2 linked regions of the Drosophila melanogaster genome follow. The protein of the gene in region 1 interacts with the protein of each later gene in a pairwise test. Each region holds a gene or a part of one and is shown in the gene's direction. Other genes may lie near its edges.

Region 1 (5,711 bases):
ATTTTCAAAACTATTTGGGCCAGCAATAATTGGTAGCAAACGAAATTGAGAATTTCCTCTTTCGCCTCCAGTTCGAACATAATCAAATTGTTGGCTACGCTGGCACTTCATTTTCAATTTTAATTTACATTCGCTCAGCAGAAAATCGAAGAAACCTGGTCGAACATACTGAAACTTATGGCAAAGTATCTGTATCTAAACGATCGGCTGCCGTTGTCAAGCGCGCTTCAATTTCCACTCGCGTCTCGCCGCAACTCGCTTTTCTGTGTCATTTTCCACTGGCGAGCTGGAGAGGTTCTGTCTGTCTGTCTGTCTGTCTGTCTTACATATATGTATGTATGTTTCTCGACTCAAGTCAACTCAACGCAACTCGAGTCGATGGCGCAGTCACGTGTTTTGGGTTTTGGCATTGTTTAAGTTGTTTCTCTGTCTGTAGTTTTCTTGTTTGTTTTTTTCATTTTTTTTTTGTTTTGTGCCATTGTTATGCATTATGTTTTGCACTCGGTTTCAGTTTCGATTTCTGTTTGTGTCAACAAACGACCAACTGAAAGGGGCGTTGCCGAGCCCAGTTAGCCGGTCAAGGTGGCAGAGCATCTAACTTAAATGGATTTATTGGCTAATTGAAGAATGCTTTACGCACTACAAATATTCAGATTACAAGGCAACGAAAATATTTCAGATTTGATGGATACTTAGATACTTCATAGATATTGAGACCAGAGTCTGGAAACTGTGTATACAATCATTCACTGTAAAAACAAGGTTTAAGTTGCATGAACATCATTAAAAAAGAGTATTTACTAGATTTACTTATGAAGAAGTATTTTACTCGATGCTTACGCCTAAAATGTATCTTTTAAGGTTTTGACAGTGAAGCCATAATAAAAATGGATACTAGCATTATTTAACGCCTTATGTCTTTACAAAACTCAACTGCTTCTAATTTTAGAATAGGATAACCTTATAGCAAATAAGTTATAAATTACTTTGAAAATTTAAAATAAAATAAATCCAGAAAATACAATTTTCCAAAATATAATAGAAATATTTGCTCTTCTCACTCAAGCTAATATCAAACCTCGCGAGTCTGGCTTACTCTTTCCCTAATTAGCCATCAACACTTGCATTGGTTCTCCTTGAAATTGGAAAACGTAATTGCCGCAATTAGGGAAGAAAAGTTTCCAAGGAAAGGTAACAAGTGCTAATAGTGGAATATAGGCCAGGTGTCGCATAAGTCATTTCGAAATTCAATTACAGAAGTATAGAAATAAGTTCTACAAGTCCAAGTGCATAACGTTTAGGTAGGTGATAGTAGGTTCTTTGGGTAGCTAATGCGTATCTATGGGTTATGTATGGTGTTTGCTAATATCAATTTCAAAACCAAAATGGGTTACACTTTTATAGAAGTGGTTGCAAATTATAGAAAAACTGAGGATATTCCTTTACTTCCCCCTAAAGAAAGGCAATTAAACGATCTTGTTTATATTCCTAGTCCAAACTTGTTGGTACATCAAATGCATTTCAATGCATTTTGGCCCATTTGGGCTATGCGAACAATTAAGTCTGATTGAAATATAGGTGTACGATCAAAACGACTTGATGACGAGGGTCCAGATGAACAAAAGCCAGTTATACCGCATTCGTGCGTCCGACTATGGCCGAAACTGCGTGGAGTGTAGAGCGTAAAGTGGAAACAATTTATAATACTCAAATACATGCAATTATTGATTTTATAAGTAATGCCGTGTTATCTGATTGTTTTGCCATCCGGCCTGCCGCCTCCTCAACCGCAAATGCTGCTGCTATGGCTGAGTGAAAAATATTCGCACGTTCCGTCCGATTTGAGGAGGGGATTCCGGACTTCAGTGTGGAGACGATTCAGTTGCGTCGCGACTGTGAAAGCCTCTGGTCTTCAGCTCGAAGGAGGCAATCGGATTGAAAGGATTTCCGTGCACGAATCGAGTAGAGATCGAAACATTGCCCAGAGATGCAAGTACCTCGGGTTAAGCTGCTCATGGGGTCGGGAGCCATGTTCGTGTTTGCCATCATCTATGGCTGGGTTATCTTTCCCAAAATTCTCAAGTTTATGATATCGAAGGTGGGATCGATGAGGGAGTTATACCCGGCTTAAATCTTATAATAGCTTCCCACCCAATAGCAAGTAACTTTAAAGCCCGGATCGGATGTTCGGGAACTCTGGTCCAATACTCCATTCCCACTGCATTTCTATATCTACGTTTTCAACGTAACCAATCCGGATGAGGTATCCGAAGGAGCTAAGCCACGGCTACAGGAAGTGGGTCCCTTCGTTTTCGAGTGGGTTTCTATATATTGGATTGTGTAGGATAGCAAGTAACTAACACTGTTTCTCCCTGCTTTGAGTGAGTGGAAGGACAAGTATGATTTGGAGGATGATGTCGTAGAGGACACGGTCAGCTTCACCATGAGGAACACGTTCATTTTCAACCCGAAGGAGTCGCTGCCACTTACGGGCGAGGAGGAGATTATTTTGCCGCATCCCATAATGCTGGTAATTATTAAATGGTTTAGTTCATATTTTTTGAAACTATACAAGTTTCCAAACATTTTCGTTAAATCAATCATATTCTTCCATTTCTTCATATAAAATTCAATCCCATACCCTGCTATACCTTACTAAAAATGGTTAGTAAATTTAAAATCAACACTCACTGCATCAGCGACTTTATGGCAAACGTTGGGAATTAGAGATTCTAGTCAGAGCTATGGAAAACTGCACTTAAGGCGCCAGCTAATGACCACGTGGCCCATTGTTAGCCATGTGAATTATGCAAATCGCATTCCCAGCCCCAAAATAGCAGCCACAAAATTAACCCATTAAGAGTGATAGAAATGGATTTCAGAATGGCGTCTTTTGTGTTCTGTAATTCTAAGCTGAATTTAGTCTGCGATTTATTGGCGGCGATTATATGTTTTTCCCTTTCCAATTTTTACAGCCTGGCGGCATTTCGGTTCAAAGGGAAAAGGCTGCCATGATGGAGCTGGTTTCCAAAGGATTAAGCATTGTCTTTCCGGATGCCAAAGCCTTTTTGAAAGCTAAATTTATGGATTTATTTTTCCGCGGCATCAACGTAGATTGCTCCTCGGAAGAATTCTCCGCAAAGGCGCTCTGCACCGTGTTTTACACGGGAGAAATTAAGCAGGCCAAACAAGTCAATCAAACTCACTTTTTGTTCTCGTTTATGGGTCAGGTGAGTTCTTAATACTGCCAATTAATACTACTTAAGTGACTGAAATTTCAATTAACATCGAAAAACAGGCCAATCACTCGGATTCTGGCAGATTCACTGTCTGTCGCGGAGTGAAAAATAACAAAAAGCTTGGAAAGGTAGTGAAATTCGCCGACGAACCGGAGCAAGACATTTGGCCAGATGGCGAGTGCAACACCTTTGTGGGCACTGATTCTACGGTCTTTGCACCGGGCTTGAAAAAGGAGGATGGCCTGTGGGCATTCACGCCGGATTTGTGTAGATCCCTGGGCGCTTATTATCAGCACAAGTCATCCTACCATGGCATGCCATCGATGAGATACACCCTGGATTTGGGGGATATACGTGCCGATGAGAAGCTTCATTGTTTCTGCGAAGATCCCGAAGATCTGGACACGTGTCCGCCCAAGGGCACTATGAATCTGGCGGCCTGTGTTGGTGGTCCATTGATGGCATCAATGCCTCATTTCTATCTGGGCGATCCAAAGCTGGTTGCCGACGTTGATGGTCTCAATCCGAATGAAAAGGATCATGCGGTCTACATAGACTTTGAACTTGTAAGCAAGCAATTTGAGTAATGAATATACATGCATATTATCTATTTCTACTCCCTTCAGATGTCTGGAACACCTTTTCAGGCTGCCAAGCGTTTGCAGTTTAATCTGGACATGGAGCCAGTGGAGGGCATTGAACCCATGAAGAATCTACCCAAGCTGATATTGCCCATGTTTTGGGTGGAGGAGGGCGTGCAGTTGAACAAGACCTACACGAACTTAGTGAAATACACACTATTTCTGTAAGTTGGAATCTACATTGTTAAGAGAAATTATATAACATATTTTAATTATCTTTTTAGGGGCCTAAAAATCAACTCAGTCCTGCGCTGGTCCCTCATTACTTTCTCCCTGGTGGGCCTGATGTTTTCCGCCTATCTTTTCTACCACAAATCCGACAGTTTGGACATAAACAGCATCCTCAAGGATAACAACAAGGTAGACGACGTGGCCAGCACAAAGGAGCCCTTGCCTTCAGCAAATCCAAAGCAATCTTCTACTGTGCACCCTGTTCAGTTGCCCAATACTCTGATTCCCGGCACGAATCCCGCTACCAATCCAGCTACCCATCACAAAATGGAGCATCGGGAGCGCTACTAATACCCCAAATGGCATTCTCCAGCGATCTCTGCACCATAGTCGTAGTCCACTGCACCTGTGTAGTCCAATATGAGCTAATCAACTGAGACAGATCTAAGCACATTCGTCTGGGAAACTGGTCGCTGGCCAATGGAGTGATCGCTAATCGATGACCACTGATCGCAGATGACAAGATCTGTGCGCTCCACTGACACCGATCATCGTGGATTCAGTAATAAAAAATAAAAAAACGCAGAAGTTCAGAAGTTCGAGTTCAGCGATCACAAGAGTCGGTGAATTGACAAATCGTTTTTAAACAATGGCTGCAATGTTTGCAAACCGAAAACAATTGCGGAGACAGGCGGAAAAGTTGAAGTGAAAATATCTCAACTTGTATAGCGTTGATTAATGATTTGTAAACAGTATGCAAAAATTACACTTTTTTAATTAATTTTAATGAAGACGAATTATAAGTACTTGTTCTGTTGGCCCCTTAAAGTGAAGTGTTTGTAGTTGTAAATGTAAAATCAAACAAAGAGGGGGCAAATAAATGGTATTTATTTGGCTTAATTTATGCAGTTTCATTTATATAATATTTTCTCATTAGTATAAATAAGTAGGAATTTTAATACTATTTCCCATTTAATAGATTATTTTTCTATGCCATTCCACATCTCATTGGCCCTCGAGGATCTCCAACTAATCTATCTTCCAAAATGGTTGTGTCCTTAGGCAGTTCGACGAACTCCAACAGATCCGCCAACTGGCCGCAATTGAGTTCCGCTTCCTCGACAAAGAAATCCTCATCCAGATCCTTGATAAAGATCTCCTTTCCCTTCTCGTGACTTATCTCCAAGTAGTTGAGATCCTTCAGATGGGGCAACATGTCCATGTGATTCGAAGTCAAGTTGTCGTAGGTAAAACTCAATCTTTCCAATCCCTTGGCTGAGGTAATTTTGGGTAAATCCGCGAGATTTACAATGTCCGTTACATCCAAGTCAACGAGCTTACTGGCCTTGGACAGAAAGTCAAGTCTATACAGATTGGTATTGGCCAAGTAAAGATGCTCCAGATCCTGGGGCTGCGAAATCTTCAACTCATGCAGCTTTGGGTTTGCCTCCAATTGGACACCAATCACTCGACCATCCAACTCCACTGACTCGAGATCACAATTGGTGGCCTCCAGCTCATTGATTTTAGCTGATAGATGGAGTCTTCTGAGTTGAGGATTAAACGAGAGCGAGAGATGATCTATTTCACGAAATATATTGAAAGGAATCCGCACTAGTTGATTACTTTGGGCTGAGAATTCTGACAAATGTTTCCGCTG
Region 2 (4,136 bases), on another chromosome or scaffold:
AAAAGTGAATGTTTCCAGCATTGTCCTGCAGCAATTAAAAAAAATTGCATTCCCTCAAAGGATTGACTACTGCCAAAATCTGCATGGCCATGTGGAGCGGCCAAAGGTTTACGAGAAAATATAGTATGGAATTACACATATATTGATATAATTAGTTGAACTTACCCAAAACAAGCTAAAATAAATATGTTAAAGTACATTTATCGTGTATATGCATTACTTTAATAGCGATGTTCTCATATATATATTTTTCACCCTTAAACATTACCACTTAAAAAACTTAATCACTTAAATTCCAAAATATTTGCGTGCGTACCAATCCATTTGTCATCAGATCGCCGTCAATAAATTTATGTTATGTATACGTTGTTTGTAACCGGAATATGTTGTAAATTAGTCAAGCATATAATAGCTACTGTCGCCACAGTTTTAATTAGTTAGAGGAATAGCCAATTAAAACCAAAAATAATAGTAATAGTTCGGTTGTTTTCTTTTTTTGTACCATATTCTGTGGTGTTTCGGTCACAATTTAGACTAGACTTCAATGACCAACGATGAGAATCAGTCTGAATTCACACATATGGTATATTTTCCAGGAATCGTTGATTTAAAGATGAGTTTGTAAACTGTGTAACCTCTACTTAAGTTGACTTTTCAATGATTTAATTATAGCTTGTGAAACTCGCGATAACTTAAAAATTAAAAAATGCAAAAAAGCCCGTTTCGATCGTTTACACAAAAATATACCCATTAGGAATAAAATGCACGATCTGGAAGGATCATAATTTGCCAATACCCACCCATCTTTATAACTTAAATTGGATTGCGCACTGCAGACGCTGATTGAATTTTAAATTTCGTCTCTCTACCATGAGCCGGAAAAAAAAAATGTAAAATATTCCGATTAATTACCAGAACCGACAAAAGATTCTAGGGCGGGCACATGGACGGGTTGTCTCCGCCGAATGCATTTAATTTGCATGTTCACGAAGGTCCTTTTGTGTGCATTTGTATGTCTGGATGTCCGTCCTCAACGCCAATGAGTCAATATTATTACGGTCGACGCTTCACACTCTCCGTGAAATTGGCAAAAGGGAAAGCGGCCGCAAACGCTGGCAAAAATGCTTTCAATTAATTAAACACCCGAAAAGCAAGGCTATAATGAGAATGCAATGTGCTGTGCAAAGTGCTCTAAAGAGAGATGTTTGGTCGGGGAAACCCGCAGCGGGTCCCTCGATCAACTCAATCAACAATGATGCCAATTTACAGGACACTCGATGCACGTAGCGAAAGCTTAAATGATGTCCAAACTTTATATTATATCTTTGAAATTGTTTTAAAGTCATTTGGGATCTGTAAAGTTGTCTAAAGATTTGCTGTAATACATAAAATATATTTATAATATGATTGATACACGTTTAATCTCTTCTATTTAATTCATTGTGTGCCTTTCAAGGTCTTCAGCACATCATCATTTTTATACATTTTTAGAATATATTTCGGAAATTATAAATCAAATTTAAGCCGCATATTTTTCACGAGTGCAGTCTGCGGCATGCAGCTCATTAATAATACAGATAATGTGTTTGGCGGCAATCATTTTTCGGTTGCATGCCATCGCGGTGGCATTGATTAACACCGCCAATGGTCAACGCAATGTCAGACGAAAGGCAATGATATTGGGCGGGAAAAGGGGAATTCGGTTCAGTATGGTCGTATGAAGATGTATGGCGAATTAATGTATTTTTGGTAGTGTTTTACTCGGTAAATTGCTTGTTAAGTTCCTGATCGTTGAACGAGCATAATTCCATTCAGCTGAAATGTAACCTGCGGTCGATTAAATGTCATATGACATTTTCTACTGACATTCTTTAAAAACTTACAGCAAATACGAAACAGAACTAAAGCTCTTAAAACCGCCAAGTCATGTGAGACCATTTGCAACAGTGAGGCAGCCTATAAAAAGCACTGTTTCCCAGCTCAAGCAAATATTCAAACAAAGCCACGGACAAGATGTTAAGCAAGTTTTTTCCCCACATAAAAGAAAAGCCATTGAGCGAGCGGGTTAAGTCCCGAGATGCCTTCATTTACTTGGATCGGGTGATGTGGTCCTTTGGCTGGACAGAGCCTGAAAACAAAAGGTAATGAAATCAATGTAAGCACATATATAAGTATTAAAGCTACCATAATTTCCCGTAAAGGTGGATCCTTCCTTATAAACTGTGGTTAGCGTTCGTGAACATAGTAATGCTCATCCTTCTGCCGATCTCGATAAGCATCGAGTACCTCCACCGATTTAAAACCTTCTCGGCGGGGGAGTTCCTTAGTTCCCTCGAGATTGGAGTCAACATGTACGGAAGCTCTTTTAAGTGCGCCTTCACCTTGATTGGATTCAAGAAAAGACAGGAAGCTAAGGTTTTACTGGATCAGCTGGACAAGAGATGCCTTAGCGATAAGGAGAGGTCCACTGTTCATCGCTATGTCGCCATGGGAAACTTTTTCGATATTTTGTATCACATTTTTTACTCCACCTTCGTGGTAATGAACTTCCCGTATTTTCTGCTTGAGAGACGCCATGCTTGGCGCATGTACTTTCCATATATCGATTCCGACGAACAGTTTTACATCTCCAGCATCGCCGAGTGTTTTCTGATGACGGAGGCCATCTACATGGATCTCTGTACGGACGTGTGTCCCTTGATCTCCATGCTTATGGCTCGATGCCACATTAGCCTCCTGAAACAGCGACTGAGAAATCTCCGATCGAAGCCAGGAAGGACCGAAGATGAGTACTTGGAGGAGCTCACCGAGTGCATTCGGGATCATCGATTGCTATTGGAGTAAGGTGTTTCAAATGCTACAAGAACACTGTGTCGCAAAGACATAGTAAAATGAAATATTTGAAACAGTTTTCTTCTATTCCTTTCCTTTTTATTAATGGCCTTTTTTTATTTCTTAGCTATGTTGACGCATTGCGACCCGTCTTTTCGGGAACCATTTTTGTGCAGTTCCTCCTGATCGGTACTGTACTGGGTCTCTCAATGATAAATCTAATGTTCTTCTCGACATTTTGGACTGGTGTCGCCACTTGCCTTTTTATGTTCGACGTGTCCATGGAGACGTTCCCCTTTTGCTATTTGTGCAACATGATTATCGATGACTGCCAGGAAATGTCCAATTGCCTCTTTCAATCGGACTGGACCTCTGCCGATCGTCGCTACAAATCCACGTTGGTATACTTTCTTCACAATCTTCAGCAACCCATTACTCTCACGGCTGGTGGAGTGTTTCCTATTTCCATGCAAACAAATTTGGCTGTGGGTGTCAATATTTTAGATATATCATTGATTTTACACCTATTTTAAATTACTTTGTTATTATAGATGGTGAAGCTGGCATTTTCTGTGGTTACGGTAATTAAGCAATTTAACTTGGCCGAAAGGTTTCAATAAGTTGAGAGGGACGAGCTCTGCTACTATTATATTATATATTATATTATATTATATATATATTATTTTATATTATATATTGCTGTACCCTAATAAATATTTAGTAATATCACTGTTTTTCATATATATCAAACTTTGTGGCGCCCTCGGGTGGAAGAGTTTTGAAAGCCAGACAAACTGGAATACTGCAGTTTTTCGCAAAGGAAGGTGCATGGGTCGGATACACCACAACTGTCCACTTAATAAAATGCATTATTGCCAAATAACTAATGTAGTTACTTACAAAAAAAAAAACCGAAACATATAAAAGCTACAAAAACAAAATATGTGAGAGAATACAAGGGAAATGTATAATTCATACAAACTCTTTAAGAAGAGTTTCTTGGTTAATTGATCGATTTTAAACTTTTTTTTTTACTTATATTTTCCTTTTAGGTGTGAAGGTGTAGTTTGTAGGTGATTGTGGTCGAATGGAACCATACATTTGTTAACGTTTTCCCCGGTGACATTCCCGGAAAACTTTTAGCAAATACGAAACAAAGCTTAAGTTCTTGAAATCGCCAAGTCATGTGAGACCATTTGCAACAGTGAGGCGGCCTATAAAAAGCACTGTTTTCCAGCTCAAGCAAATAATCAAAAAGAGCCACGGACGAAATGTTAAGCCAGTTCTTTCCCCACATTAAAGAA

The links.
Region 2: the proteins of Snmp1 (region 1) and Or22a come close enough for resonance energy transfer, tested with the Drosophila melanogaster proteins (one study listed by BioGRID).

What each region holds. Positions count from the first base shown.
Region 1 is NT_033777.3:21,164,405-21,170,115, reverse strand, and holds Snmp1 (sensory neuron membrane protein 1), read left to right. Parts: upstream 1-1,910; 5' UTR 1,911-1,987; coding exon 1,988-2,098; intron 2,099-2,158; coding exon 2,159-2,316; intron 2,317-2,382; coding exon 2,383-2,530; intron 2,531-2,975; coding exon 2,976-3,230; intron 3,231-3,298; coding exon 3,299-3,805; intron 3,806-3,865; coding exon 3,866-4,044; intron 4,045-4,104; coding exon 4,105-4,402; 3' UTR 4,403-4,949; downstream 4,950-5,711. Other genes in the region: CG5810 (uncharacterized protein), read right to left, coding at 5,040-5,711. UniProt on the Drosophila melanogaster protein: Plays an olfactory role that is not restricted to pheromone sensitivity. Has a role in detection and signal transduction of the fatty-acid-derived male pheromone 11-cis vaccenyl acetate (cVA). Not required for sensitivity to general odorants.
Region 2 is NT_033779.5:1,518,600-1,522,735, forward strand, and holds Or22a (odorant receptor 22a), read left to right. Parts: upstream 1-1,891; 5' UTR 1,892-2,013; coding exon 2,014-2,141; intron 2,142-2,201; coding exon 2,202-2,840; intron 2,841-2,959; coding exon 2,960-3,317; intron 3,318-3,383; coding exon 3,384-3,452; 3' UTR 3,453-3,557; downstream 3,558-4,136. Other genes in the region: Or22b (odorant receptor 22b), read left to right, coding at 4,104-4,136. UniProt on the Drosophila melanogaster protein: Odorant receptor which mediates acceptance or avoidance behavior, depending on its substrates. The odorant receptor repertoire encodes a large collection of odor stimuli that vary widely in identity, intensity, and duration.